Linked DNA regions of Neodiprion lecontei. The main gene of each other region encodes a partner of the protein of the gene in region 4 in a complex. Links are inferred from orthologs where the notes say so. Each region holds a gene or a part of one and is shown on either strand. Other genes may lie near its edges.

The links.
Region 1: small nuclear ribonucleoprotein Sm D3 (region 4) and protein CWC15 homolog share a complex: the UniProt entries of both Homo sapiens proteins name them as parts of the minor spliceosome. The link is inferred for Neodiprion lecontei from reciprocal best matches to the Homo sapiens genes SNRPD3 and CWC15.
Region 2: small nuclear ribonucleoprotein Sm D3 (region 4) and BUD13 homolog share a complex: the UniProt entries of both Homo sapiens proteins name them as parts of the minor spliceosome. The link is inferred for Neodiprion lecontei from reciprocal best matches to the Homo sapiens genes SNRPD3 and BUD13.
Region 3: small nuclear ribonucleoprotein Sm D3 (region 4) and thioredoxin-like protein 4A share a complex: the UniProt entries of both Homo sapiens proteins name them as parts of the U4/U6-U5 tri-snRNP complex. The link is inferred for Neodiprion lecontei from reciprocal best matches to the Homo sapiens genes SNRPD3 and TXNL4A.

Annotation. Positions count from the first base shown.
Region 1 is NC_060261.1:30,136,787-30,144,009, forward strand, and holds protein CWC15 homolog, read left to right. Parts: upstream 1-4,028; 5' UTR 4,029-4,251; coding exon 4,252-4,382; intron 4,383-4,500; coding exon 4,501-4,804; intron 4,805-4,889; coding exon 4,890-5,132; 3' UTR 5,133-5,202; downstream 5,203-7,223. UniProt on the Homo sapiens protein: Involved in pre-mRNA splicing as component of the spliceosome. Component of the PRP19-CDC5L complex that forms an integral part of the spliceosome and is required for activating pre-mRNA splicing.
Region 2 is NC_060263.1:19,781,832-19,792,489, forward strand, and holds BUD13 homolog, read right to left. Parts: upstream 6,547-10,658; 5' UTR 6,235-6,546; coding exon 6,140-6,234; intron 5,996-6,139; coding exon 4,693-5,995; intron 4,562-4,692; coding exon 4,407-4,561; intron 2,593-4,406; coding exon 2,408-2,592; intron 2,320-2,407; coding exon 2,147-2,319; 3' UTR 1,909-2,146; downstream 1-1,908. Other genes in the region: prostatic acid phosphatase, read right to left, coding at 7,238-7,362, 8,082-8,262, 8,390-8,601, 8,697-8,820, 10,263-10,658. UniProt on the Homo sapiens protein: Involved in pre-mRNA splicing as component of the activated spliceosome. As a component of the minor spliceosome, involved in the splicing of U12-type introns in pre-mRNAs.
Region 3 is NC_060265.1:6,863,025-6,869,967, forward strand, and holds thioredoxin-like protein 4A, read right to left. Parts: upstream 3,342-6,943; coding exon 3,219-3,341; intron 3,134-3,218; coding exon 2,997-3,133; intron 2,909-2,996; coding exon 2,695-2,908; 3' UTR 2,516-2,694; downstream 1-2,515. Other genes in the region: receptor-type tyrosine-protein phosphatase H, read left to right, coding at 9-157, 242-377, 520-586, 692-790, 1,368-1,472, 1,557-1,619, 1,715-1,839; hsc70-interacting protein, read left to right, coding at 4,128-4,401, 4,486-4,898. UniProt on the Homo sapiens protein: Plays a role in pre-mRNA splicing as component of the U5 snRNP and U4/U6-U5 tri-snRNP complexes that are involved in spliceosome assembly, and as component of the precatalytic spliceosome (spliceosome B complex).
Region 4 is NC_060261.1:15,626,974-15,634,528, reverse strand, and holds small nuclear ribonucleoprotein Sm D3, read left to right. Parts: upstream 1-3,287; 5' UTR 3,288-3,668; coding exon 3,669-3,984; intron 3,985-4,232; coding exon 4,233-4,345; 3' UTR 4,346-4,347; exon of another isoform or gene 4,348-4,562; 3' UTR 4,563-4,613; downstream 4,614-7,555. Other genes in the region: actin-related protein 2/3 complex subunit 3, read left to right, coding at 169-174, 549-725, 816-1,011, 1,133-1,287; TLC domain-containing protein 3A, read left to right, coding at 6,271-6,306. UniProt on the Homo sapiens protein: Plays a role in pre-mRNA splicing as a core component of the spliceosomal U1, U2, U4 and U5 small nuclear ribonucleoproteins (snRNPs), the building blocks of the spliceosome.

The DNA.
Region 1 (7,223 bases), about 15 Mb from region 4:
TCGCAACCATCATTAGCTATATTCTGTAGGTGTACATCATACCAACTCCTTCATCAGTAGTCCACCCATTTACTGATCCAAACTAACGGTTGTGCATCTGGATTTGTCATCTCATCTAAGGTATTGGAAAAAAAAGAACACATCTAGTATCGTACACATTAATCTACAATGTGTGTTTAATAACGGGAGACCGCAATAAAAGCATTGATTAATGAACACAAACACATTGTATATTAATATTATACACGGATATTTGCACACTTGAATTGCACGGTATCAATCATACTTAAGAAATTGATCAACTCTATACGAAACAGTCGTTTATACTTCTAACTTATAGATTTTAACCTCGGAAAATAAATTTTTCAAACCAAATGTGAAGAATGCATCTTTGATCAGTTTGTTAACACCGAGCCGTTTAGTGGGAAGCCTTTAAAACATGTTGGCATGTTACGACACAAACATCAAAATTTTGCAAGCCAAGCCGTCAAGGATGTGTTTCATATTATTATCATAGCACATTCTGTACAATTTTGCTCATAAAAGCTCCAGTTCAGTATTGCGCTTGCTTTATCCTGGCATATGTTTCCCTGAGGCTTGATGTTTCGAAAGGTGGTATTTCCAGAAGAAGAGCGTATGTTATACATTCAATGCTCCAGATGTCAACTTGTTAGGAATGTCCAGATTTCGCCAGAATTTCTGAAGTTATGTAATTTGGAGTGCCGCACAAAATCAGAGTATACGGCAGCCTGAAATTCCTGGCAAACCGGGAATTATACGAGAATTTTGAAGGGCTCTTGAAAATACGAGAATTTCCCAAAGCAGCCGGAAATTCGCAATGAAATTGCCGTTTCCATATTCACTCGGTGAAAAACGAAGTGTTAAAAATGAATATTTCTTCGGAATATCACTGCAGTTTTAGAATTTTCAAAATACATAGAAAGTTGACACAAAGCAAAGTCAAAATGTAGGAAGGTTAGAGTATAGAGAGCTGTACTGTAAAGTTATCACAACGAATAAGAATACATCCGTATTCTGATGGTTCTGTATTCTGATTTTCTATACTTTACTTTTCGTTTTGACTTTTCTGTACTTCGGCTTCCTACATTTTGAAATTCTATGAAATACATTTTCGCGTATTTGAAAAATTCGATATTGTGAATATTTTATTTTCTGATTTTTCTATATTTTTGACTCTACCTGGATTCATCAGTTCTACACACCGTCGAATGTTGATCATATCATCATAACACACTAACGCCGTAGAAATCATTATACTATACGGGAGTTTTGAAAAAAATAACCGTGCATACACGGGAATTTTGAATTCTGATACCGCTGGACATCAAGATCCAAAGTTTCTCCGATGCTTGTTTTTCCTGAAAACCACGGTTTAATTACATGCGTTGTGTACTAACTCGCCTCGAGTGCGCCTCAATCTTTGATACTGTTTAATTAGCCTTTGTGAGATTACTAAGCATCGCTAATTTACAGTAAAAATTATTGCAATTCCGTAATCCGGTAACAAATTTCGAATATTCAAGGTTCTTATTGATTTCGTGAAAGTTTTTCAAAGTGATGTAAATTGAACAACGATTTTATAAAATCAATTTCAGAAGGCTCGTTTTTATAAAGCAGTATATTACAAGCAATGTTTTATTTTACTCAATTAATTAGTTATTTAAACGAAAAATCTAATATTTTTGTGAAATATTAGGTAATACATGCATTTTCGTATACGTACCTAGTTATCCATAAAATATCACTCAGATATTCGTAAAATGCATTTCTACCCTGTTTATCCCCCCTATAAGGCCGTTATTTTATTAGCGAGTAATATTTTTCGGTAATATTAGATTAGTAGAAGAATATTTGTCGCAATATTGGTTCATCGAAATGAGTCTTAACATTTGAAGACTTGATTTGTTTCAAAATCGAAAAAAAAATAATTACGCGTATACAAACATTTAGCATTTTCATTTTCACACCAATTTCTGTTACGCTCGTGACAGCGAAGCCATGACACATGCGCAAAGAGAACCATTCTCAAGTTTATTATAGATACCACATTTTTTGATTTTCCGAAAAAAAAACAAAATTTATGTGAATGCCGTCTTCACACACACACACACACACACACGCACACACATCCGTGTAAAAGCGCGGCGCTGGACTGAGAGCTGTATGATAAGTCACCTTTTGCGGGGCTTAATCCGCCGGCAATAACATCAATTTCTTAGAGCGCATATTCTGGGCACATCAGAAAATCAACAACAAACTTTATGGTGATATATGACCTCTCAACTGCGTTCGAAAATTTGACATTGCTGAACGCCGAATCAGGACTATTGACGGTACGTACAAAACATAGTGTAATTAGCTGTATGGAATAAAGAAAGCATGAACACAAGATTGAGATTGACGTGTAATACGAAAGAATGATCAGTTTAGAAAAAAAATGACGATAAATCGGTTATCCCGCAATAATGTTCGAAAGAATTAATGAGAATTTCTGTCAATATTATGTCAAATAACAGCCAAGAGTGGTTGTTCGAAACCTGGGTTGATCAATTCGTCTTCAATCCACTGATCCCCAATAACTTAAAATGGCTTTAGGATCTACCCATTTTTTACTTCGCCTTCGAAGTCGGCGATCGATGATTAAATTATTTTTCGTCTTGCAAAGGATGCAAGAGATATGAGAGCAGAGAGAAACGTTGATTAATATTCATCGAGACTCACCTTCCCAAAGAAACGACCCTTTATGTAGCTCCTTCCCGTACATATTTTCATCGTAGATCACATTGGGAGTAAAGTTGTTTTTGTCATGTTTAGACATCTCTATTGTTCCGGGTAATTCGAGCCACAGTCCGGTAAAGTTATAACACTTAGAAATCACCTAAAATCACAGTTATAAGGCACGTAGTACACCCAACACCGCTTCTCTTGATCACTCGTACTCAACTGGCTGCGGTTTCGTGTTGAACGGGCACGGGATTTTAATGTTTGAATCGAGAACTTTTAGCCAATAGCGTACGCTCAACTTGATACGTGACATCCAAATTGTTTGATTTTTTCACCTTTGCTTGCCTTGTCACGACATTTGTTTACAAGCAGTCACAACGGTGTCATATGGTTTATATTCACATTCCCGTACGGACGAGATAAACGTGTGAATGCATAGGTGAGGTGTATATCCGTGTATCGGAACGTTACCACTGTAAGTTGTCAGTGAACGTTACTGAACAAGATTGTTTATTCATTTATTTTACGAAGAAACAATCGAGATACGATCTGTGTCCACCGGATGAACAAAAACACTTTCCTTTTCCGTCTATCGATAAAAATTAAATAAATGCATTATCAATGATTTCACCATGGGATATATTCTTTATCGATTCATTGGTTCATTGATCACATATCTTATAGATATGTTTGCGTATATACATGCACATACACACCAGAGATACTTGTAAAACCAAGTAGTTGAAGACACGGTCAACATAGGTATGATAAATTCACAATTAAACTTACTGTAAAGGGAGTAAGAAAAAGACTACTACTAAGTATTTTCGGTGACCACGATAAGGTGGCCACCCCCCTCCAAAATCCAGCCCCGTGATGTTCTGAGAAATTTTTTGCATGATTTCTGAAGGAAATACGACGAACTGTCCGATAGCGAGGACGAAATTTTTATAAAAGCAAGCGATTTTGCGTCCGTGACTCAAAATAAATGTTCATATTTTCTGAACATGCGCCATTTACTGAGTTCGGATATAAAAAATTTTTCGGGATCCGTCCAACCAGTCACCTAGAAATAAATTTAAAATTCGAATTTCGGTCAAGAGGACACGTATCGGCCTACCAGGTTGCAGAGCGAGAGAGACAGGCTGTACACGGCATAACTGCTCTATCTCACTCCTTCGCCACACTTTCTGTACACGCGAAGCTATCTCCAGTAGTATATGCTCCATGGTAATATCTGACAAATTGACCAGCGCCAACTTCACACGAGTGCAGGTAGCGGAGACGGTGGTTGTTGACTGCCGCCTCTGTGTTACATTAGTCGTTTTCCATAGTTCATGGCACAAAATCCAAACCAAAATTTACTGCTCCCGTCACAGCAAGTACATACGTCAATAGCGTATGCGAAAAAATAGCCAAGTGTAAACTAGAATCTGAGTAGTGTTTTAAGGTAGTTTTTATCATCGTCCCGAGGGATTCGCAGGCTCGTTATACTCTGGTTTCAAAATGACTACAGCTGCGAGGCCGACGTTCGAGCCAGCGCGCGGAGGTCAGGGACGCGGAGAGAAGGATTTGAGCGCAATTTCTAAACAATACTCGAGCAGAGATCTGCCGTCTCACACGAAATTGAAATACAGGTAACAGTACAAGTGCAGAGATACCATTTTCGCGTGTCTTATCTCTGTCCTCGTGTGCTTTTTCAATATATCGCGTCATAACCAGAAAGTTCACATAACCTAAAAATTGTCTTCCCAGAGAGTACGGACAGGGAACAACAGATGAGTTGAGAAGCCGTGATTTCCGCAAAGAGTTGGATGAACGTGAGCGGGAAAAAGAGAAGGCGTCGAACCGTCGCATGATTGAACCTGCAAATCGTGATGGTTCAGCTGTCGCAGCAAAAAGACAGAAAATCGATCAAGTACCAGCAGCTAGTTTGGATGCCGACGATCCATTGGACGAAGACGATTCCGATTCTGACAGCGATGAGGATGACACAGTCGCATTACTTGCTGAACTTCAGCGCATAAAGAAAGAACGTGCCGCCGATCAAGCCAAAAAAGTAACGCACCTGGATAGAGATAAATTCTCTCTCCCTGCGATCACTGATTTGTTGATTTATAAATTGTCATTTTTTTTTTTACCAGGAAATAGAAAAGAGACAAGAGGAGGAGCGGATACGCATGGAAAACATCCTTTCCGGTAACCCACTTCTCAATTATTCAGCTCAGCCTGGCCGTACAGACATGAAAGTGAGAAGGAGGTGGGACGATGATGTGGTTTTCAAGAATTGTGCACGCTCAGAACCTGAGAAAAAGCGGGATGTGTTCATAAATGACTCGTTAAGAAGTGAATTCCATCGAAAGTTTATGGAAAAGTATGTGAAATGAACGTTGTGTCTAGCTGAAGAATTTGAATTGATGACAATCTCGTATTGTGTAATAAACAAACTAGACTACAGTTATCATATGCACTTGACAAATTACAATCCGATAATTCGAATCAATTTCATTTTGAATAAAACTAGCGTAAGTGGTATAAACTTTCGTTAACTATCGCCATATTCTTTGTTCTTCTCCAACTATAAATTAAGAAGCTGGAGTGTGTTAAAGTTGATTCATTGTATAACTTGTACAATGTTTGCGATTGCAAAAAAAAACTATTTTCATTAAACTATACATATAGGTAAACCAAGTTGTGTTTGTATGAAAATATTTCTTGACCCAAACACATTTTCTACTTACAAAAAGTGAAAACGATAAACAGTGTTCTAATCGAATAATTTAAGTTTCTTCTTGTTTTTAGTAAAAAAATATCTTGGATTTTTTGTGAAACTATTCCGAAATTTTTGTCATCTGGCATTGTGACCAGCCCATTTATTTACCATTTTCTTTTATAGTATGTAAAGAAGTTTATGCAATGTAACTAGATGAATAAAAGAAAAGCGCGGAAATTATGGAAAATGTTGAAATGTTTCACTGATTTTTATCTACGCCGAATGTTATATTTCCTGGAATTTGTTCGAACGATGATAGGATATCTCTAATGGAAGACAACGAAGACATACGAGTAAGAGGTATGGGACAAGAATTCTTTGCTTCCCATCAGCTACAATAAGAAAACCAATATTAATCACGGAGATAAGAATGCGGTAAAGGAGGGCCTAGATCGCCGTGAACGAGAGTCAAGACTTGATTTCGGTAGGAGTTGGTCCAGCAAACGCATGGGTCAAGTATAACCGGTCCGAGTTATGACCATTGGTATGGTGTTACGTGTACGTACGTACTATACGTGCATCGTCGCCGTTGTCGGGCTGCGGCAGAGGCAAGCAGTCTGGTGCGGCCGTTCGAAGAGCGAGAAATTTATTACAAGAGACATGCGAGTTGGGAATTGTTGGTTGGCGCAGACTTTGCGGCACCGTTTTTGCGCGCAAGCAGGCGCGCTGCCGCTGAGGAAAATCGGTGACTCCGAGTATCGTTAATCAAGATTTAATAACGATCACCCCAAGGCAAGGCGAACGTGCAGCACCTTGCAGAGCAGTTACGTCGATTTCTCGCATATGTACGAAACGTTCGTTCAAATATGCCGAATACACGCATGCATATACGCGACATGGAATTCCATACGTATGTAATACTCGTAGTCGGGAATTTGCCCGCGGGCTTTTCTCCAGCTCTCGTGCATACTTACGTGTATAAGTGCGTAGGTACGTATGTATATACGTACATACTTGTTTATCTTATTAGTTATTTCTTACACGTGAACAGACGGTGCTCCCTGCTTTACCTCGTGCCTCCCTACCTGCCTCTCCGCGCCTCTCTTTTCTCCGTTCTCATCCTCCTGCCCCTCTCCTCTCGCTCTTTCTCTCTCTCCTCCGCGAGCCTCCTCTTCGGCAGGAGAATCTTCTCATCCCGTATTACCTAGCATCCACGTCGGTGTCGACTCGACAGGGCCGTACAATTATTGTTTTTTACAATGTTATCACGGTGTTTGAACACCGACGACAGCTAGTACAGCCCGCGTTTCTCGTAATATCGTTCAAATCAATATTTTCGCGATTTACATTCAATTTGCCGCTTCCGGCGATCATTAGAACGGTTCAGTAATCCAAAGCAATCACGGTTTTAGACCCCATAGCAAGTTTTCCAACGATTTAAATGATGACTCAATAAATCATTTCATAATTAATAATGAAACGTTACTTATGTATTTTATCGAGTCCGCTTTTTTCACATACACACACTTTGGCTACATCAGTCTAATTAGTTGTCCCCGTCAGTAAAAATGTTCTTCATTCAACGATCGGTGGTAGCAGCCTTCTTTAGATCTACCGTTCTGGTAAAAAATACATATCAATTTTTACACGATGATTCATAAGAGACTGAATAAACATCAATTATCTATATATTGTCCCAATTCAGCATCAAATATTTGAAAAATTGCATTTGTATGCGTTCTTCATGAAAAGAATATTATATTTC
Region 2 (10,658 bases), on a different chromosome or scaffold from region 4:
TTACTGAGCTTTGGTGTGACAACCGAAAATCGTTATGCGCTTGCGTCCCCTGAGATGTTCCAACGGTAGAGTTGAGAACTTATTGCAGAACATCTGAGAGTTACCGATTTCGACGTGATGCTGGCTGTATTCACCTTTCGAGTAACACGATCTTCGCAATGGTAAACCGGGTGAATCCAAGCCAGTACTTAGCCTGTGTGTACTAACCGTCTTGTCGGCGATACAAGGAATTAATAATGAGAATAAATTTCTTCCAAAATTCGTTGCAAAACAGTGATTTCATTAAAGTATAGGTACCCGAAAAAAGACTATATACATAGATCATCAATAATAATAAATCAGATGTGATAATGATGCAGAGACCAAAAAGTATATATGTATATGCGATCCATGTACGATATTAATATATATGATCCATTTACGATTAATACGTGATGCATACTGTAAATTTTATACTTTTCCAGGAGACAAACTAGATTATATACAATAATACGGCTATGATATGAAAATAAAAAATTTATTCATTTCGAAATGTGATTTATACGATCGTATACGGAGCATCCATTTCATCTCGATCAAAATTAGCGCATCCGTCATGTATTACAGTTACTCTGAATTTTTTTCGATACGAACACTTCGAAAAACAATTCTGCTTCTCTACCCAACGTAGATACTTCACTTGTGACTTAAACCAAAACAGCGTTTCGATTCTATGCCTACAAAAATTCAAGATCGTGAGAGCAAATGAAAAGTTGTGGGAATAATTAAGAATATTCATGTTATGGAATACATCGAGCGCGTGTCGAATAAAATATAATTACGGGTCGGAGGTGGTAGGAGGTGTTCGGAGGTGTTCGGAGGTGGTTGGAGGTGTTTGGAATTGGTAGGAGGTGTTTGGAGGTAGTTGGAGATGATCGGAGGTAGTCGAGGAGGACAAGGACGATGAGGAGGTTAAGGGGGACGAGGTGGACGAGGAGGACGAAGGTGATCGGAGGTAGTTGGCGGTGTTTGGAGGTGCTCGGAGGTGGTAGGACAAGTAGTCTTACGTACTCACTTTGTACAGACCACGGTCTTACATACAGATCTGACAACGAAGGTAGTGGGGGTTGTTCATTTCACGGCCGGCTATTATATCTCACTTTGTGGCCGCCAGGTCGGCGTTGTCATCAAAGGATGGATAATCAATGCGTGCGCAATGCAGCGCCGACCTAATAATAGTGCATCTCTAGATAGCAGCGCCGCGACATGGCTATTTCAAACACTAAGAACCACGGACAGCAAGAGAACCACGCCGCTCTGTAGAAAATTGGCTTCGTTGCCAGACCTGTATGTAAGTAAGACCGTGGTACAGACTCAATCCCAAGCTTCCATACTGACACTACTTGGGCTGCTACGAATGTAGGTGCGAGCCCGTTAGGTAGAATTGATAAAACAGAAACGTTCCCAAGCCCATCTGGGCCTACTTTCCCGCCGAAAACTGGTCACAAAAATTCACCCAGGGGTATCCGTCTTTATATTCTTCAGTGAACGTCAAAGCCTACGCATCAGCCATATGAAAATATCACAATCAGCGCAGCTCCACATGCATTGCGAAATATAAATATCAAAAAAAGTTTTATTTTACGAAATAATAATGCCAAGCTTTAGTATCACAGTAAACCAAAAAGTTTTTGAATTAATTTGTTCTGCAATCGGTATTTCATTTGGAATTGCGCTTAATAGTAAAAATCAGGATGCAAGAAGATAATAAGTGACGTTTTCCTCGATCGGTAAGGACCGATTATAGTAGTACGACACACTGAACTACAGATTTCTTTCTTTACTAACCGGTAAACCACAGGAATTGACCGGTATTTCTTTGTATTTGTATTCACTCGTAAATCGTAAAACGAATGAATACGTATTAAAAACATGACGTATTTTTTTATTTATTGATTTTCAATAATTTTAAGCTTCATCTGCCCCTAAGATGAATGGTAGTTATATTAACCGACATAATTTATTCCTGATTGATGATCACCGCAAGGAACAGAATCTAATATTTCCTGATGCAAGTTCCAAAGTACAAGTTGCATACCTATGAAATTTGAAAGCAGCAAACCTGATTGACGTACCAGGAAAAATTGTATATATGTACATTTATTCACTACATGTCGGCGGTACTCCATTTATACGCTTCTTCCTGTACTGCCTTCCTCGCGTTTTGTGCATCGAACCACTTCTTCTCATAACCGTTACTCCGATCTACACCATCCCAACGATATCCTGGTTGAATGCCAAAACGGTTGGGCATAAAGGGTCCTTGGTATTTGGGTTTTTCTGAAATTTCATATTAAAAACTTGTGTTTGAACTGCGATCTAAAATACAATTGCATTTGGCACAGTTATGAAGTTTTTATTTCAATACCTGGCTCCTGTTTTCCTTCTTTTATCTGCTTCCGTTTTATGTACGCTAGCATTGGATCCCCTTCTCTTTCCTGTGCTTTGAGTTCTCGCTCCAAATCCGCATCATCCGCGTACCTTGCCAGGGGTTTACTCATCTCGTACAAATCTCTGTCCAGCTTTTCTTTGTGGTCTTCAACTTGCTTCAAACTGTGAATAAGAATGTACGTATCAAATGAAAGTTCGAAAGTTACTTAGATAATGAATAATGGTCTCTTAAATTCGGTAATGTTGCAGTAAATATTTTCCTTGGAAATGAAGGTCAGTAACAACACCAAAAAATTCAATTAATGCAATCGTCGAATCAGTATTTTGGATGTATTTATCATTAATGACAATCAGCTTTTCAAAACTGATTGGTTCCACAAAGGCACCCGGTCACAGAGGTACCTAAATTTTCATTCTCACCATCGCAGATCATACAAGATTGGAACAATCAATTGCTTGGTTGATAGAGCGATTAGATTATCTAGTATCGAATTTCATAACAAGAACCTTTCCTTGATTCATCATGTACTACGCAAGAATAATTATCCACCTGCCCTTCTTAACAAACATATACATAACAAATATAAGTCTATTGTATCTGTTCGTGATTCCAACAACAATAATGAAGTAGCCGTTGCACCTGTTAATCAAAAAAACTTTGCATCTATCTCATATGTTTCTGGTCTATTCGAGTCTTTAAGTATAATTTTCTCAAAATATAATATTCAATTTGTCAGAAAAAATTTATCACACGATTTATCGTCTGTGTTTGACTCTGGCAAAGATCTGCTACCCTTGGATAAGCGTTCTTGCGTCGTTTATAAAATTCCTTACAACCAATGTAATTTGTCATACGTAGGACAAACAAGTAGGCAGTTACATACAAGAATTAGTGAACATAAATGAAACATCCATGAGCATGATGATAATTATACAGGTCTGACTGGACACTCGATTGAATTTAATCATGCTTTCAATTGTACTAAACCTAGTATTTTAGATGTTGAGCCCTTTTATTACAAAAGGTTAACAACAACGTGCAACATTGTTGCACATCCTAACGCGGTCAATCTAAGACAAGATATTGAACATCTCAGCGCTATTTACACTTCTGTAATACATCAACCATAACCACTAATTACCGACTGAGCTTGCTCTTGATCTCATCTTCTTATCATATTTTTATATTTATTGAACTCGTTGTCTCATTGTCTATGCTTCTTACTACTGACTGATTTAGTTCTATTTCCACTGCACGCTGGAGGATCTACATGTTTTAAAATAGATCTTTGTTCAAAAATTTCGTTTGTGTGTTTAATTTAATTTTATTAACCATGATGAATGCTTGGGAGTTTCGTGTCGCAGTTTTTTAATCTAACACTGGTTTTTTTATTGTACTTTGTTTTTAAATATTGACTTCTTCGTGTTGTTCTTCAAAATTGAAATATTCCACGTTATTACTAGGTAATTTCTTTTCAATTATATCGGCAGAAGTTGCCTTGTTAATCTCATAAGTCTCGTTAGATATTAATTTTAAGTAATTCACCTGTGTTACCTATTCTTCTTTCTCGTGATAGATGGTTCTGTAAATATATAATCGTTTTGAGGGAGGCCCCACCTGGACCGAAACAATTTTTTGGTGTTGTTACTGACCTTCATTTCCAAGGAAAATATTTAATTTTTACTTAGATAATGTACAAACTTTTGAACGCAAATCTTTGCTTGATCAACAATAATAAGTAGCCTGTAGCCCGTAGCCCGTAGCCCGGTAATTATGATGTGATCGTAATATTAACCTTTTAACAGCGGAGAAATGTAAGTTGAAATCAACCTTTTATTGGACGTGAAATTTAGAAATAAGTTCTATCAATTTCTTACGTGGAGTCCCTAACCTGACTGCTGGTCGATATATCGATCTATCGATAACTCGACCAGCCCTGCTATAAAGAGGTTAACATATCCATAGAAAAACATACCCTCTTCCCCACTGAGCATATTTATCCTCCAATTCTTTCCGCTTTTCATCCTTCTGTTCTTTGTCGCGTCTTTCTGCCGCGAAGTCTCGTCTTCTACCAGTTTTACGATCGCGGAAAATTGGAGCCTGCCCAAAACCAGTTGTCTCTTCACTCATCTGAGAGCAAAAATTGATACCTTTGTCACATGATAAAGATCTCGAATCATTCTAATATAGATTTATTAAATTATCAAATAAGAAAAGCAATTTGCAATGCAATAGATAAATCATTTCAAAGAAATAGGCACCTCTTGATAATTTTTAGAAGTTTTTTGTAATGGTTTGGATTCTGAATCCAAATCTTCATGATTCATCCGAGTCTCCCTAGGTGGACTCAAATCAGGTGCAGAGTCATCTTCATCCTTTCTGGAATGCTTATTTGTTCCTCCCTTTTTGCCATCTCGTCGTCTATCCTGAGGTGATATTGACCGAACTTTATCACCTTCCTTTCTTCTCCTGCTGTTCAATTTTGTTCCATCTTTTCTCGATTGTCGATTACTTCTCTCATGTTCGGATGAATTACTCCTATTACTATGTTTCCCTGATTTGTACTCATCTTTTCCTCTAGAACGTAAAGATTCAAAATGTACAGAAGGAGATGCTTTAGAAGTTCTATTGTAATGCTTGTCGTGCCGAGAACTTGTCAATGAATTTTCACGTTGTTTCGAATGTTTAGTACAATCAATTCTTTCAGCCTTTGAATTTCTGGGTGGGCTAAGATCAGAGTCCGAGTCTTTTCTAATCCTCCGAGGCAGTCTTAAGTCATTATCCTCAAAATTCAAAGAGAAAGCACTGTGTCGTTTCTTGAATGATTTTCTGCAAATCGATTCATCCAAATCAGAGTTCTTCCGGAATATTCGAGGTTGGCTGCATTTGCTGTCCTCGGAGTTGCAAGGATTTTCAACCCGCCGTTTCTTCTTCGAAGATTTCTTGCACCTAGTTTCGTCTGAATCAGAATCCTTTCTGGTCCTGCTAGGTGGACTAGTGTCGTTGTTTTCAGAATCTGAGGAATTTCTTGCAGGGCTGGAAACTGCTCGGCTTTGTTTCTTTTTAAAAGATTTCCTACGTCGAGTGAACTTTTCCAAGTCATTGTTTTTTTTTACTCTCCGAGGTGGACTGAAGTCACTGTCCTCTGAAGCAGGTGGCTTTTCAATCAAACTAGAAATAGAATGTTGACGCAGTTTCTTTGACGATAGTGTCTTACGACTAGATTCTTTCTGGTCGGAATCATTCCTTTGCCTATGAGGTGGACTGCCTTTACCATCATCAGATGGAGAACGATTTCTGGAATTAGGAGCAGGTATTCTGCTTGACTGGCTCATCGCCTCAGATATTCTCTCGTTTCTGTCAATGCTGGTTACAGTTATGTCTCCATCAATATCGTCTGTTATAATTTTCCACCTTTTCTTGTCGGAAAAGTCAACTGGACCGCGTTCGTCGACAATACCAGCGATTTGTGGTCCGTCTTCCGTGTTGTTGTAAATGTCGAATTCCCCATCTTCTATTGCTCTCATATTTTTAAGATCAATGTCATCGTCAATAATTTTAACACTGGAGGAAATAAAGCAAAATTAATGGATATTATTGCGCTGCAGATTTTAAAATCGTGGGAATTGTATTCCAGGGTCATTGCGATCTAACCTAATAAAAATCGTATTATTGCTCGATCAAACAGTCGTACAAGATAACACTTACGTTTTGGACCCGATTTTGGGTTTCTTTTTTTTAATCTTCTTTTTGTCCTTGTCGGATGACAGGTATTTCTTCAAATACTCTTTCTGACTTATCATTTTCTTATCCAACGTTGTGTGCGCATAACCTTACAGTTTGTTTTCATCTATACTTATTCATACCTAGGTTCATACCACGGTCTTATAGACAGGTCTGGGTACTCCGGCTGTAAAACCGTGCTCGAAAATGAAGCCGATGTTGTGAATTTTCGCCGCTAGCGCTAGTGAGGGAGCGGCCTACTTAGTACGCATCGTACGAGTCGCCTTCCGCATGCGTTTGCCGGAGCTCACGCATATTAGCTTTACCCTCCATACTGGGCACTCATATCCCTTTGCCAGCCCCCTGACACACGCTGCAAAAGTGGTTCGCAAAATGTCCCTCGATTCTGCCGCCAACCTCCACCACTAGTGGCGCTAGTAGTTGTCTGACAGGCTTGCGCGCGGTCAGCGAGCGTGTCAGAAGTCTACTAGCGCCACTTAGAGGAACTAAAAAAACGGGGACAAAACGCGTACAATTTTTTAGTATACGAGCAGTGGTGCCAGGGGGCTGCCCTTTGCCATAGCACGCGGTGTAACCGCACTGCGTAACCGTATTGGAAGTGCTGCAATGAACGCTCGCCGTAGTTACGCAGCGTTGCTTGCGCGTGTCTTTGAGAAAGGTAGAAAATGAGGATTCTGTCTTTCTGAAATACACGACTAATTTTTTTAAAATCATTTATACAATACCACTTTGTGTCACTAAATCTTAATTTTGTCGTCTCTGTTTTATATTTATTATAATGTAAATAGAATTTGTTTTTTACAGCAAAGTTGAAAGTTGAATTAACCCATAACACCTAACTTACTCAAATTGCACTATCATGAAAAATTTCGAGTACAAAATGACCGCGTCATATCAGGTGACTTTTGTGCTGATCCTGTGAATAAAGTTGAGCGTGTGTTCAACGATCAATAAAAATAAGGGACGAACTTCACACTGGAAAATTTTCTTTTTATAATACTAAATTATTCCAATGCCCGTGTTAGTATCCGCAATAATCATAAGTCGGATTTTATTATTAAATTAAATAGGATCTGTCGTCAACTTAAAGTAATAACGGTTACTATCACAGTTGCGGTGATAGTAGACAACGCCGATGATTAACAAACCTAGTAATATGATGATGACCAGCAACAATATTGAAATACCTGAAATAGAAACCAATAGAGTAAGAAATTAGAAATGAGAAGATGCAGTATGAATTGTCAATAAAAACTAAAGGGGGTACAGCCGTCACGGGAAAGGAACTTCTCAAACATTTTTGTAATGAAATATTTCAAGTGGAATGTAAGTTAAAGTTAAATTGATATATGAATACTATTGGTGAATTAAAATCATAAAGAAATTGTTCATACGAAATTCAATATCTATGTTACTAATGTATATACATTGAATATTTCTCGAAATTATTTACAAAGATTAGGTCAAATCAATTGCATTTACATGTACTTGTTAATTCTTTACAGATAACTATGTAGACTCGTTTATTAACTTTTTCGCAATCATGGTCTGTTGAACTTTAAACAACTTTTAGTTAATTATTCAAAACACTAGAAAAAAATATAGTTGTGTCTTATGTTGCCGCAACAGTAATATAGGCAAGTCGTATGTTGAGTCCACTATAAGAAAGCTATAGTAACACTGTGCAGTGATATACTATTAACACGCAAGTCAGAGTATAAATAGGTATACTATCACTGCAATAATGGGAAGTCTGGCATTACGCTCAGCATGTGACGCTTTCATGGATGCACTCTCCATACAGAGAAGTACCGTAAGAAGTTGCTTCCAAAATTTCTTTAAACCTTATGAACGTTTTTAATCTCACATAAACTGAGGGATTCTAACTAAACAAGATTTATCTTACCAAATATAGATGGCATGGTAATGTTGTGTGCGTATTGTTCCCAGCCTAGAAGACATTCTTTTGCCCAATCTTTTGGTATCATGTCGTTAGTTAATTCTACAAATTTCCCTAATGGACACGCGACCTCACAGCCTGGCAAAGTTAACAGCCTCGGTTCAGCGGACGTATTTTTGTACGAAATCTAGAATATAGGGTGAAGAATCTGAGGTTGTAATCATTCTAGAAAAAGTTCAACTTGCATGCAAAGCACAGTATACAGGACCTGAGGAATTATTCATTATAATGACACCAGTAGAATGTATCCCTACCGTTACAATATGCTGTTTCAGTGAGTTCACTCTCAATTCCACAAGGACAGTCGCTGTATACGGGGGACAGTGTGGCTCAAATAAATCTAATGTCATCAAAAAGTTTGCCACTGTTGTATCATGGGCGCTGTATATCCATATTTTTCTATTCGGGAATAGTGCATTTTTTGATTTGCTTACTAGGTGATCTACCATTTCACCTAATAATCGTCCTGTTAGGAATCAGTGATTTTTTTAATGAAACTTCAATTCTCAGGAATTTATTTTACACGATTAACATACTTTTCGCATGAATATTTCTACTTGCCTGACTTCAATCTTTGGAGTAGTTTATTGTGAGCTTCTACAGTAAAACTAAAATCCGCTAAAGGTTTTAATTTATCTGGATATACAGATTTTGTCCACTCGGGCAAGGTGCGGTTATACAGAACCTGGAGAAGAATAACATATCGGTTATTTAGCTGAATTATGATAACAGTCACTACATCCACATTTTAGAAATAATGGAATTATAATAGGAATATTGTTTCTTCATTAAGGGTTTAAAATTTGAATTGAAAATTTTTTGGATTTTAATCTGCCTGCATACGAATGTTTCTGCTACGGCTGATTAATATTTAGTAATTTGTTCATTCATTACGAATAAATATTTGTTCAAGAAAAAGATGTTCCAAGGGTTAAGGGTGTGCCATGGTCGATTTCGATGTTGACGTATATATCTCCAAATATGGAAGTTCACGTACCTCAAATGTGAAAAAGGGCTTGACAGCCCCATCATATATACAATTCTGAACAGAAACACTCAAACACATTTTCATTTCATGCAGAAATAACGAAATGGCATGAATTATACGAATTTACTATAACGATTTCATAGAATCCATGCCACTTCTTTATTTCTACACGGATTGAAAATATGTTAGAGTGTTTTTATTCAGAATTGTACATAGAATGGGGCTGTTAAGCAGTTTTTCATGTTTGAGATACATGGACTTGGATATTTGGAGATACGTACATCAACATCGAAATCGACTAGGGCACCAACTTAAATGCTAGCAGAAAATCTAGTATTTAAAAGCAAAACAAATTTGCAGCCTTTTGTGCAACATGAGAAAAGTAAAATATTAGATGTTAAATAATTGTGATACATAATTTATCAGTCATTTGCAATTGCGTATTATGACATTAACATGGTTATCAATTTACTGGTAAGATATCGAATTGCACAAGAATTGTCTCTAGAGGTTATTTAATTCTTTTCTGTATACTCTGTTCATTTGTGTATCATCATTCAAGGCCAAGCTACGATTATGCCACAAGGCACAGATAGTGGACTCACAGGATGGTAATTGTACTATGACCGACAAACACATTAGTTTTTTTTACTTCAGTGTACACGTTTTTGCAATGAAGAATACTGATTAGACTTTGTACAGAGTGATCGACACTCTTCTCTAACAGTAAACATGAAAACAATTTCCATTTATGTTACGTAGAATAATATTCTTATTATAACTTCTTTTCACTGTAAATCTTTACATCATAAAAGATAAAATATCTTGATAAAATAGCATCATTGATTATTGATATGTGTAATGAAATGAATAAAATCCTCATTATTTTGATTCATTTTTGATTTTTTTTTTATCTGACAGCAAACTTTTTCTAATATGTGAAAAAAATTTTTGGCCCAGATATTGCATTTCATGAACAACTTATGCTCGTGAAAATTAGCAAGAACTGTTTAATTAAACGAAGCTCTAACTGTATTATAAAACTTGATTAATAAATCTACCAAAAGAAAAAAAAGACATAAGTAAATATTCCTGTCAAACTGGAGAATTGGTATTCAAGATATGCAATGATTAATTACCTCAATAAATAGCGTATTATATATGCCACTAACGTCACTGACAGATTGAACCATAGTACCAGCTTTTTTGCTCAAATAATTGTACAGTTCTTGGTTATCATCATCAATTTTCCTGATCTCGGGGGAGTTCATAACATTTTGCAACTCCATTTCATACTTTGGGCAGTATTTTTTGCTTGCCAGCAAGCTGTCCTCAAGTTCAGGTATAGTATGGACCGGTATAGGCATCCACTTAAGTTTGTCCCAAACTTGATCTCCTTCAGGTGGATAAAGACCAGCCAAATTAGCCTCTGCGGACATCAGCGTCCTGTCAATGTCTGTACTTTGTACATATACATCATAAGGAGTATAACATTCTGGCAGTAAATGCGAATAACGTTCTCTAAACCAACGACC
Region 3 (6,943 bases), on a different chromosome or scaffold from region 4:
GATTTCAGGGAAATGATAGGAGAACGCTAATGCATTTACATTTTAAAGAATGGTCAGATCACGGTATCCCAGATGATTTTCATTCAATGATTCAGTTTTGTCAGATAGTTCGAAGGCATATTAATGAAAGCAAAAGCGTGGCTGTGATTCACTGCAGGTATGCTTACCTCATATTCTATTACTTGAATCACTATTCCGTAATCTTCATCCAACATGTGTACCAAACTTCTGGTTCTTTCAGTGCTGGAGTAGGTAGAACCGGGACCCTAATGGCTATAGACATACTGTTACAGCAAATAAGGGATAGCAAGAAGCTTGACGTATTCGGAACAGTTTTTAATTTGCGAAAAGATAGGATAAATATGGTTCAAACAGAGGTGAGATATTGAGATTTAGTTACAGACCAGTAGTTTAGAAGTCTTCAATAATTGTTGAAATAGGTTGTAAAGCATGATAGTGGATTGCAAGAAAATTGGATAACAAATCATCAAAATAATCATGCCGTAATTTTTTTCCCAGAGTCAATATGCTTATATCTACAATTGCACCAGACAAACTTTAAATAATCCGTACCCAGCACGGCTCGGTGAGTAAAAGAGAAAATGAATTATGAACGTCCGTATGTATTCAAATACCAGTAGTTTGAATTAGTATGTATGTTACAATTTTCATGCTTTTGCCTGTCTTTCAGCTAAGCCGCCACCTATTGAACCGATATATGAGAACCTCACAAAGAAAAAAAAACCAATTACAGACTCAAATACGAATCTTGTCAACAGCATCGAAACTTGTATGTAGATGTCGCCTCACGCAAACATCCATAAACCTTGCTAAGCATAATAATTTATATCTTATATTTAATATGTATGATGAGAATATTATCAGATATACTTCTTTCGACTGAAAGTAATCAACAATTTAAAGCTGCTGAGGTATACCGATGATCTATCCGAACACGTTTTCATATTTGCCTTTCACTATAATTTGTTTTTATTACGCTTATAGCAGTTTTGAGGAATTTGTCATCTTGATTCAGTTTTAGCTAGCACGAGTTGAATCAGCTTGGACATACCAATGTTTATATGGTCTTAATGTTGTAATGGTTTTGTATTTGCTAAATGAATAAGACAACCTTAAAAGCCCTGTAGAGCAGTATTGCCATGTAGTGTATGCAAACCTCACATCTTGCCAGTTTTGGAGTTTCAAATCGTTCTAGCTTCATTCAAAATTCGGAAGACTATCATTAAACGCTTACACGTTCCATTAATTTTCGTTTTCCTTTTATTATAGCTGACTATAGTAGAGTAGTTTAATTCTAATTTACTAACAGGTAATTAGTCTGAATGATAAATTTTTCGTTTTTACAGTAAAAAAGATCAGTCCTTCATCATCCATGGATTCTATGGAGCAGATTTACGAGTTCGCAGCTCATCGACCAATTTATAGTACTCAGCTAAGCACTCTGAGCACTGGTAATACAATATTTCTTATTATAGCATTTTATATAAAAATATATTTGGAGTATTTTCTGACATACGTTGCCAATCAACTTCCAGGGTTGAGGTATTCCAAATCAACTAGCGCAATCAATACTCAAGCATCACCTAGCATGGAGATAGGTATGCATCAATAATTCAATAATATTCCTAAGCTAAGGAAAAAATTTGTATCAGGACAATTTTCATAAAACAATGTTGACAAATTTTTTTCATAGTCAGATATGGAAGCCATGAGTATCCCATCTTTGAGCCAGCACCAGATACCATATCAAGCAGAGGCAGTATGGACAGGAACGTATTGCTAGAGTTTGCAAGACCTTTAGGTCTGAGAATGGACTAGTCTTTTTGAGATCTGTGTATTACGATAAACGTATGGGTTTACTTACAAGTTGGATTTAAGTATTAAATCAGTATTGTATCTTTCGGTACCCATTGTTAAAGCTGAATGTTGTACAAATTCAGTACATTGCATTTCACATTTCAAATTACATTCGAGAGTATTTATTATTTGAATTCATGAAGAAATTCTTACTGCCATCTTGTTTCTAACTATACTTATACTCATAATTGAAACAACTAACTGGACATTGGAACATAAGTTGCTATGTCGCGTTTTATTGCTTCGATGGTTATTTTTATTATTTATTGGTAATCTTGGTTAGTTTTTGTTATGTCCTTACAACTGAGGATGTGCCATCATTCAAGTGTGATAATACACGAATAATGTACCAAAGATGAAAATTTTAACAATTTTATACTCCGTTATTGGACGTACTGAATAAGATGATGGAAATAACAGTGGCCTTTGTAGATAAGATGTGGAAAATGTATTGCATCAATATATTGTACATAGTTTAACGTTAAGATAATCTATATTTGGAACTGATGTTTAATATTTTTATTAAATAATTACAAAAGATTTGAATAGAGCTAAACTATTTTTACCAGGTATCGGCTAAGTTTCGTTAAATTGGTATAAAAACGGCATAAAAGCGGTATAAAGACAGATCCAGAAATAAATTTAAATGAAAAATTTCAGTTTATTTACATGTGACGGTACAAATTCATCATCATTCTGTAACTGTTAAATAATACCTAAGCTGTATACAACTAATGATGATTAATTTATGTTTTAATGTAAAACAACATCATATATTCGAAACATATATTCAAATCTTTTTGCTGCATAATGTAATTAATAGCGATACTTTGTTGAATAATCTTTTGGCGAAACAACCAAACCTCTGCCTTTTCTAGCGCCCCGATAAACCGTTTCGATGATATCGATCATTTCCTGTTTGTCTTCTAAAGTCCAATTGATTTTATTATTGTTTCCAGTGCCTAAATCAATCATTATATGCTTGTTTCTGAAGAAGAACATGACCGTGCATGGATCGTACAACTCATACCTACAGTTCAGAAAAATTCTGTGGTTATTATTCTGAAGCTTTGCGAAGTACTGAAGAAAATATTATAGCAGCAGAGTGTTATACTTACATTTTATTAAAGTCTGGGACCTCTGTTATATCGACTAGATAAATGACTGCAAAGTTTTTTACTTTTTCTGCAATATTGTAGAGGACTTCATCCATTTTCATACACATTGGATCCCAATCGTGGCCAAATCTGATCACCTGAAAGAAATCGAAGTAGGACGGTTCGTATTAAATGTAAAAAAAAAAGTGAGCAACTAAACTTAGTTATGTGTAATTAACATACGATTTTGTACGACTGAATTTTTAGGTTATGATGACGTGAACTTACGACCACTCGGTCCTCTTCTGATAAAATTGCCTGATCCACTTGCCATCCATTGTGAAGGTGACCCAGCATATACGACATTTTTATAAGGTGTTTGATTTATTCTTGTAATTAATTAAATCCCAATTTGCGTACAACTGGGAAAAATAAATATTTACACGTACAGAAACGTCAAATTACAGTGGCACACATATAGCACATCAAGGCACTAGCGACCCTAGCGGCGTTAACTTGCAACGATAACTGCGTTTGCGTTCTCAAATGTGCCGGTGTAGCATTCGATAGCCACCAACCTTCCACTGCCTTCAAGAAGGTGAGTTGCTGACGTTTTTTTTTCGCACATTTTGTTGTGATTGAAGTAAAATAAGTACTGCGCATCGCACCGTGAACAAGGTAATAAACGACGCTTAATCACGTAATTGTAAAATATTAATGTATTTTTGAGATTCAATAGTCTACATTCACGCTGTAATTTTTATACGGGCTTACGAATCTTGTTACGACCGCATTTTTTACGAGTCACGACTGTTTGTTATCAACGCCGGTTAGACCGGTTGACCTGGTGATATTATGACGATATTTGATTATTCTGAATATTCATTTCTCTGTGCTAAATTGATGATCATTTGTAATTTTGACACCTAGTTCATTCGGACAATGATTTTTATAGGTACCAAATATTCGTGCATACGTATGTGTCAAGGTTTTTCAATTGGAATTTTCTAGATTCGCTGTACACACTATTCGGTAAACATGTCAATTATGAATGATCTGTTAAACGACAATATAAATCGTTGAAAAATCTCATCAACATTGTTAGCTTACAGATTCTAACTCACAAATTTTCTTATCCAGAAAGATATCGAAATGGCTGCTCCTGTCAGTAAAGAGCATCTAGCTCAATTGAAAGTGTTCACCGATTTGTGCATTGAAAACCCTTCGATCCTGCACCTCCCGGACCTCGCGTTTGTCAAAACTTTCATCGAACATTTCGGAGGTAGTGTCCCAGATACCAAAAGCAGCAACACCTCGGGGTATCCGAAATTTAAACCTCAACCCGCCCAGTCGAATATTCCTGAGCCTGAGCCAGCTCCGGAATCTGATGAAAGTGATATCGAACTTGATACGACTGGTGTCATCGGTGAGATTTGGTCATTTCTTTTTCTAATTTATTGAGCTTGTGAAGCCGTTTTGTTATTTTCAAACGAATAAATCTAATTTTTAGAACCGGATACAGACGCCCCACAGAAAATGGGTAATCCTACTCTTCAGCCAACTGAGGAAGAAGTGGCCGAGTCTCAGGCAAAGCGTTCCGAAGCAGTGTCCGCTTTTGTCGAAAATAACTATGAAAAGGCGCTGTCTTTGTACACAGAGGCTATTGTACTGAACCCTCAAGCTTCTTTGCTGTATGCAAAGCGCGGGCAACTGTACTTGATGCTCAACAAACCCAATGCTTGTATCCGCGATTGTGATCGTGCTCTTGAAATAAATCCAGATAGTGCTGCCGCGCACAAGTTCAGGGGACGTGCTTACAGATTACTTGGAAAATGGGAGGAGGCTGCCAACGACCTTCGTCTAGCTTGCAAAATCGATTTTGATGAACAAGCTGATGAATGGCTGCGAGAAGTTACTCCTAATGTAAGTAATAACTACTTTAACATTTCACTTTTACAACTTTTCAGGCTCACTGTGATTTGACATTAGGAATAGCATCACTCAACTTTTTAAGCTTTGTGTCCAAAGTTTGTAACAATGATTAAAGTACCGGTGAATATTTATCCCTCAAAGCGTAACAAAAAATAGGACAAATGAGAAATATATCCTTTCGGCCAATGTTTACTGGTGATATTTTTATGTCGCGTATCTGAAAAAGAAGCGAATTGTATTTCAATGTATACACAATGTGCCAATCTATTGAATCTGATTTTCTGCTACTTTTTACCCGCGTGCGAGTGAATGATATATCGCATAAGCTTGAGTATGCAGGTGATTTGTGGAAAACAGATAGATATAATCCAGTCATACTTACCTGTCTTGGCAGCGGTAAACTGTCAGGGTAATAAAATGGCAGTTGGAGATCTTGGAAATGCTGGTAACGCGATTAAGTTCTCGAACTTATGAATTTTGAGTATAGCTCATAATTAGAAAATTAAATGCTTCGATTGAGGGCGATGTAACTGCATAAAATGAAATACGCTTATGGCAGTTTAAAAGGAAAGTAGAGGGTTGCATATGTACACAAGTAGCGCTCACAGCACACATTCTTATTTAAAAATACAATTCCCTAAATTATAATCCAACTACTAATCTGGTAAAGTAGTCTTACTTATGTGTAGCTTAGTTAATAATACATTGCTTGTAACATTAGGTATCCTGCAACGTAATTACATAGGCATTTTATTGCATAATTAATTAATAGTAATAATAAAATTATAACAACTTGGTAACTTAATTGGCATACTAAACAAAATATCAACAATCTGTGCTCAGGAGATTCAACTCCATTAAAGCATTTTAGACAAAGACACAAATTTACTCGAAATTTTTTTTTCTATTGTACATGAGGTATGGTATAGTTCAGGACTGCTACACTAATGAAATATTTTATATTATTTTAGCGCCTTTCATCAAAGTTCCGTTAATGATACAGATCTTTGTTACCGATGGCAGTAAATGATTAAAATACTTCATTTTGAGCAAAAGTATGTCTACCGCAAGGCTCATTTTTGTTTAGACCCTCACGGTAATGCGAAATAGATAACATAAAACACAGGTGAAAACGGATTCGGTAATTTTTTTTAGCTTCTTATATACGAACACAATCTGCATTTACGACTTATGTTTATATATATTTATATATATGTATATATAATTTTTTAAGCGACGGAAACCTTGAATACAAGGTTTTTTTTTTCTTACAATGGAAGTATTTTTCATCTTTATAATTAATTATAAACGTAGTTTTCTGCCGCTAGGCAGTGGATCAAGATGTAAGGATATTTTTCACTATAACGTTACACGTTACAATCTTCAAAAAATTTTTTCTTTTTTTTTTCAATAACAGTCTGTGTCAGCTGGTGCACATAACGCGTACGTATATCTCTTTGTGCGCAAAACAATGCGGCGGACACGCAGGCGTCAAGGTATGATAGGCACTGTATAACTCAATGTCGATCCCACGCTCTTTGGTTACCAATTGAAATTTTTTTTTTTTTTTAATATATTGTCAACAAACATTCAATCGACTACATTGACCGTAAATGCATTTTAATTTTATCGACAGAATGGGCACCCTTTTACGAAGATTTGTTTTGAGTTTCAATGCGCTTTGGACGTGATTACTTGGCATCACATTCTATGATTATTTCAATTTCTTGCACTTTCGTTAACAACGAATAAGTGAAATAATTTTTTTTTATGCCAGCTGCCCGCAGCAAAGCATAGATAGAACCTGCGATGTACTTCGTTATTAAATTTTTATTTTTATTCTTTGTTCAATTCCTTGGTTATCTCTTGATGCCCCGTACCGAGCTTTGTGCACCTAGTCATGGATGCCATTCCTCTTAGTCTCCCACCTTGCCCATTCATTTCATGGGAAATCAAAGCACCCGTAATCTGATATCATGGGTATATCTCGATCTGAGAAGTACTTACAGGCAAGCTTTGCTGGATATCAGCAAAAA
Region 4 (7,555 bases):
TTTTATACGTATTGCGACAGTATAACTCCACTACTGACATACATGATATAGCGATATCTGGCCAGACCCCACCAGATTATAGTTTGCCTGTAATAATTTCTCCACCCTTGCGGCGTTTAATTTCATGTTTAAGAAGATAATCAATCTACGAAAAAGTATCTGTCAAACATGCCTGTGAGTCTATCCTTTTCAATTTACTCAAATTAGTAATACAAGACTTATTTCTGTCTTGAAATTGTCGATTTGGTTTTCCGCATTCAGGAGCTGTCAAATGGGTGTATCCCTTTGATATCATGAATCATAACACGGGGTCACAATTTAACAGTGTCGTTGACCTTGATCCAATCGACCTACTAACGAGATGTTGATAGTCAAAGATCACTTCAGATTTACTCTTGAAGTAAATCACGGACTATAATTTTACCTAACCTAATTTAACTGTCAACATGCTATTACCGTGTCAATAAATTCTGACGTGTTTTGCTTTTCTACTATTGATAGACTTTCTCACTTTCACATTATCATACCAATTTTGCATAAAATTTCAGGCATATCATTCAAGTTTTTTAGAAAATAACCAAACGGTTGGCAACATGGCATTGCTACCGTTCAAAACCCAGTTTCGAGGACCAGCACCGTCATTCAGTAACAAAGAATTAGATATAATAGACGAAGCTTTGTATTTCTTTAAAGCAAATGTTTTCTTTCGAACCTACGAAATTAAGGTAATTTTTTAATTTGTATAGTTACATTAAGTAATGTATGTACTGTACACTTATATTACTACCACTTCTTCGCCCTTAAATATTCTACAGAGCGAAGCTGACCGAGTCTTAATTTACATCACTTTGTACATCACTGAATGCTTGAAGAAATTACAGAAATGTGCAAACAAAAATCAGGCAACCAATGAGATGTACACCTTGGCTATTTCCAAATTTGATATTCCAGGAGAAGCCGGTTTCCCATTAAACTCTGTTTATGCTAAGCCAAATACTGCGTCTGATGCTGGTAAGACCATTGAATAACAAAATCAAACACATTTTCCTAATTTTTTCACAAATTGCTACCATTACTTCAAGTGTAACACAAATATGAATTATATTCTAAATGTTGTAATGGTTTTTTTCAGATTTAATGAGGCAATATTTACAACAGTTGCGCCAGGAAACTGGCATTAGAGTCGTAGAAAAGGTTTATGGAGAAGATGGAAAGCCCAGCAAATGGTGGCTGTGTTTCGCCAAGAAGAAGTTTATGGACAAGTCATTATCCGGACCTGGCCAATAAATTGTAAATTATCTTCTCTTACAATTCAATCCAATCGCTGTAAGATAGGTTCATTTTATGGCTCTTGTCTTTTTCTGAAGAGTGAGCTACATGTTAATTATTAATTGTTTTTCACACTTCTATTAACATCAATCAACAATTTTTAGAATTTTCCTGCAATGTTGAGTTCAATATGTTTAATTTATTAAGAAAAAAAAATATCCGGCTGATAGTTGTAATCAATTTTAAACTACTAAATGTTCCCTGTTACGAATTAGATAGGATTTCATTGGAAAAATATTGTGTGTAGGTAATTACAAATCCTGCAAACACAATATGTTTAATTAAATAAGGAAAGAAAAAAATATCCGGCTGATAGTTGTGGTCAATTTTAAATTGCTAAATGTTCCCTGTTAAAAATTAGATAGGATTTCGTTGGAAAAATATTGTATGTAGGTAATCACAAATCGGGCAAAACACACTTCAATTGTATTGTTTAATTTATTACAGATAAAAAAAATATCTAGCCGAGAATTCTAGTGGATTTTAAAGTGTAAATGTCCCTTGTTGTAAATTAGATAGGATTTTGTTGGAAAAATGTTATAGGTATGTAGATAATTACAAATCAGGCAAACAAATGGTACGCACGCATGTGATGAACCAACGGCAAAGGTAAAACAATTTGTGAAACGTATAAATATACCTACGCATATTCATCCCACGTAATATAATTTTCAATAAAAACTTTATTTTATATTGCGGATATAAAAATCGGATTTAAAAAATTCAGCCATAGCTTCATTTCCCGAAATTTCTCCGAAATTATTTTCGGCTAACATGCATTTCACGATTAGAGCATAAGTGTACGCAATACATCATCTTCAGTTAACGTGCGACGTGCTCCAAGAATTAATTTAAATCACTAACGCCTAAGGGCTCAGTCTCACAAGCCGCGACGCGGCATGCATTCGTTCTTGGCGCAGCGGAATTCGCGCTTCCAAAAACCTGCAATCTTATTGGTTGCTGGATCTGTGTTGCCGCACCGTGCTCTGTGAGACTGAGCCTTAAGCGAGGTCTTTGTATACAGGGTATACAAGTCTGAAATTGGTATTTAAATACCTAAATATCTACGCGGTAGAAGAAGCCCTGATTTTAAAGCTAGTTTATAGCCGCTGAAATCGCTGACATCGACTGATGTCAACGGGGATGTATGTAAAAAGGCTGTGTTCGTAAATTGACTGACAGTACTGAAAATTCCCTAGGACAGAGTCAGAGCTATCCACGAACTTGGTAGCGCAAAAGAGATAAAAGATTGCTGACAGTACTGTCAGTCAATTTTCGAACACGGCCAAAATAGATGTGTGTCCAAACCGCTCTTGGTGCTGTTTTCGCCACAAAATGGCTGAGCTTGGCCAATCGGATGCTGATGAACTTGCTCAAGACTTGGCACAAGATGGTGGCAAAGTTGATTGCAATTGATTGGACTAACAACTTTTGGGAACTTTGGTGACACGGAGGGTTAGACAGAGATGGACAAGAACGAATTCTTTGCCAGAGATCAAGCTATCATAGGGTTTTCGAAAAAATGCAGCTACGTACACATAAAACCTACTCATATATATTCATGCCTAATCCTATATGCTCTAAAGTCCGAAAGTGTTGACCTTGTGCGACTGCAGCGCTATCTACCAGCGAAAGAAACGAGGTCCGTTTGATCAACGAAACATTTCATTTCTTTGTAATCCTCCATATACAACGGTTCCGATGCCACTTGAGTGGGATTACTCTTACACCCGTATTCATATTCCTTCCTTGAGGAACAAGGATTCCTTCACGGAGTAGTAGGAAGGAGACAACACTCTGCGATAAAACTTGTCCCCAGTTTTAAGGTACCGTAAGTGGAATTGTCTAAATGCGATTTGAGCGCCTCTTACGGAAAAAAGTGAAATTTCCGCTATAAAATGTAAAAAAAAAGGGCGGCAATCATAACCTATAAGCCTCCGTTTTATAAACACACTCCGTAAATTAGTAAAATACGCATCTGAAGTGTATCCACGTAGAGAAATTAAAAAACGGGGACAAAACGCGTACAATTTTTTAGTATACGAGCAGTGGTGAGTGTCAGGGGGCTGAATACGGGTATTGGAGCATGTATAGTATATTATATGCTCTAAAGTAAGCCGTGATGCCGACCCATGATGCCGACGATAAGCCAAGTGGCCAAAATTCGAACTAAGTAACTCTCCGGCCATTTTCGTAAACGAAACGAAAGTGGCTGGCGTCCGTCGACAAACGTTGATGCAACGACACAGACTTCACACGGGTATAAATCCGTTTCAATCGCCAGTTTTTTCGTGAGCTAGTGAGATTTTAGTGTCGATTATCGGAACATAAGTGTCAAAATGTCGATCGGGGTGCCAATTAAAGTACTTCACGAAGCCGAAGGTCACACTATAACCTGTGAAACTAACACCGGCGAGGTTTACCGCGGAAAGTTAATAGAAGCCGAAGACAACATGAACTGTCAAATGCAAAACCTGACCGTCACTTATCGCGATGGACGCGTAGGCCAGCTAGAGAACGTTTACATTAGGGGCTCAAAAATAAGGTTCCTTATATTACCGGATATGTTGAAAAATGCCCCGATGTTCAAAAGACCCGGTGGCAAAGGCGCCGGCACTGCGGGCAGAGGAAAGTCTGCAATACTACGGGCACAGGGTTTGTTTTTTCACACCAATACAAATAGATCTAGAATCTTTCAGTTTTTCATCAAAATCGAAGTCCGTAAACATGTTTTGGCCTACTGAACATTTTATTTCAGCAATGTGGAATGCAATCCGATTCGAATTCATATTTCTGTTTGACTGGCAATGTTTCAGAGACTCATTTTTCTAACAAGTTTTGCACTTTTATGCATCAATATTCTTTTTCCAACGCAAATTATCACCGAATATATCTATTTTTAGCACGGGGCAGGGGACGAGGTCAAAACCAGAGAGGCAGAGGCACGGGTTCGGCCCCTTGGTTGAATCAGCAAAACCAACCAGGAGGTTCACAACCTGGAAGAGGAAGAGGATAAATGTTATAAGGATCATTTTTGTTTATCATTATATCTAGTGCACTAAAGTTTATTTAGTTCATACTTTTATAAGGGATGTAAAAAATAATTCCATGTAAACGTAAATTGAAACCGTACATGCCTGTGACAATATGTGTAGGCAGTGATCACTAATGATAATAACAATGTAAATTAATAAGTATTCAAAAATTTAATGTCATTGTGTTTACTCCCTTAGGACTTTGAACAAGAAAACAGACCTGGTGGAGAATACAACTGTCTTGCTGTATTGTGGTTTTCATTCATATTCCATTGTAACATCCCGTCTAATTGTAAGTCTCAACCAGAGGTACATGGGCAAATGCGAGCATTATTATGAATTTTCTTCTACATTAATTATCTTAAGACCTGAATGAAATACTAAGATAAGAGGAAAGATTGTTGAAAGAATCTTTAACTATGTTATTTGCGACAACGATTGTCAACACAAAAGAGAATATCTACTACGTTATAAAAATGCATCTGAGAGGTCTGAATAACACAAGCTATGATATCAAGAAAGGTTTGATTATTGTGAATTGATATTTCATTCCCTACAGAGATAGAAAAAATTCGTCTAAAGTAGTTTCAAAAACAATTTACATCTAGAGTGCATATAAATAGATTTTTGTCAGAAAAGTGCAGCAGATATTCAACAATTACATTTGTGCATTATAACTATTATAGTGTAAGAATTTTCGAATGTTTATTATAAGTTGTATGAATCTAAAGTTCCTAATTACGTACTAATTAGACACTTCATTAAGAAATTGAATGCTCATGATATTTTTAATTCAAGCGGGAACCTCCAAAACAAAAAATCCGCGAAGGACGATAGATTTCGAAAAACTGATACACTGGAATCAAACGATAATTAGAGGCTAAAATTGAGTGCAAGGTTGTGTACATGTACCTATGTATCTTTCTGTTTCAACTTGTGAATCGTAGTGTCTTGCAGAAATCTGGCAGCGCTGCCGATTTAAAAAATCTTATTATATACAGGAATAAGATGCAAGTAGATGCTCTCAAAATTGTACTTATTCGAATTAAGTGCCAGGTTGTACCTGGGGATTTAAGTTTCTTGAAAATCACCGACTCATGTGAACGTTACATAAAACAAATTGATTTTAGAAAAAAGCTCACGTATTCTGTTGCGAAAAATATCCTGAAAAGTCTAGGTATTTGTCAAGTATGACTATCGCAGATCATTTGTTACATTGCTATTATATGTTTTCATTTGAAATTTATATGGATTATACAAATGCAACAAATAATCGGCCTATTTTTTTGGCGGTTCCAGTTTGATAAAGTTAAGCTTAATCAACGTCTTTTGACATTTTCTAACAGTGAGATCCGTTCCAATGGCCCAGTAAATATATTGTTTCGTTGGTATTCACTATCATTGGCGCAAATAACATTGCCAGGGATTTCGTAACTGTTGTTTACTCTTTTCATAACTTGCGATTCAAACCGACTTGCAGAACGGTAAAATTTTCCGTCCTAGGGTGGTTGGTAAAATCGGCAAATCAAAGTTCCAAGTTCTAACAAAGTTGCACAGAGAGCGCTGAAACCCTCTTTCGAGCTGAACGACTTCCCCTTCCACTTTGGATTTGTGGGACAGTAGAGTGGATTTCGCAGCTCATGAAACATCAGAGTGCTAGCGAAACTAGCGAGCTGTTAGCTATTTATCGAACGAAATGTTGTCAGTAGAAGACGCGATAGATTTCATACGCTTAGATATGTAAGAAAATGTCAAATGAATAGGTGAAAATTGTCCAGAGAGAGAGAGAGAGAGAGAGCGACAGAGATTGTGAGAATAGCGATTTATCTGGTTGAAAACCCTAAACGGGATCGACGGCAGTCGAGCGGTGAAGAATAAGAAAAAAAAAAACGTACGACGTGGTAAAATGGTGCACATAAATAATTCCGGCAAAAACAAAGAGGTAAGCGTTGTCGAATATATTTCACTTCATTTTATCACTGCTCTTTGATCTGCGCAAGAATATCGTATCAAAATTCGCTACTCAAGTCTGAGTCAGGATTATTCTGATCGTTCCATGTTATTCAAATACGGAACGAACCGCAATTCACGGAATATGATGTGAAATAATTTCTTACCGGTTGTCAGCCGGGCATTGAGACTACTTATTACCCTTCACGAAAAATATTATTGATTTATTCGGTTCGATTAACTCAGCACTAATGATTGTGTAAATCGCATTTGAAATTGTTGATTTTGTATTAGAATTGCACAGAGAAGAAAAGAAAGCGATTCACATCACGTTTAAACAACCTTTGAGGGAAACCTCTCTTTCCAAAAGTCGTTCACCCCGATTATTACCCGGCTTATTGTTGGCTGAGCCTCGTAATTATTCATGTATTTTTTTAACTCCCCTTCCGTCTACCCAAAAAAAAAATTTTTTTCTTTCACTTTGCTCTAACTTGCGTTTGTTCCATTTATCGAGACATCCCGATGCATTTTATATTCATTGTTCAGCTTTTCAAAAGACAATGATTAACGTATTGAACAATCGGATGGTTCTTTCCTGCTTCACTTACCAGGTTGAAAATAATACTCATACGCAGAGAGTATAAAAAAAGTGCTTAACTGTGATGGCTTCATATTTCTTGTGGCTTTTATTTCTTTCTCTTTGTAGTGGCATGAATTCTAATTCAACAATTCACGAGCTTGACATTAGTAGGGTCAATACAGCTACGCAATTTCAGGAAAAACCTATGTTTCGTAAATTTGGGATTTTCTGAAATTGTAAAAATCGCAATAAAATGAGGTTTGATCAACTTGCAAACTCAACTGCTTCAAAGTTGTTTTGAAATAGCGAAATAGTGACTTTCATCCAATGTTTCACGGTGTTAACGTTACTAACTTTAATCTAGTGATGATTCTACATCTTGCACTAAATAAGAATAATGACGTGACAATAAGAATCAAAAGAACTTGAATATTCTATGTAACGGTCGCCGATACCTAATTAATGGTAAACTAAAACGAGTTTTAAGAATTTTAACCTTTCGTTCTTGCTGTCCCAAATTTGTTTTTTAGTCCTATAAAATGAAGTTCCTCTAGATGAAATGATTACTCGATGACTGACCCTATTCTTATTTTCCCTATAAATAACGAAAAATGCGATTCGTGTCAACGTTTGTATAAACACATGATTGTGTGTTCTCTGA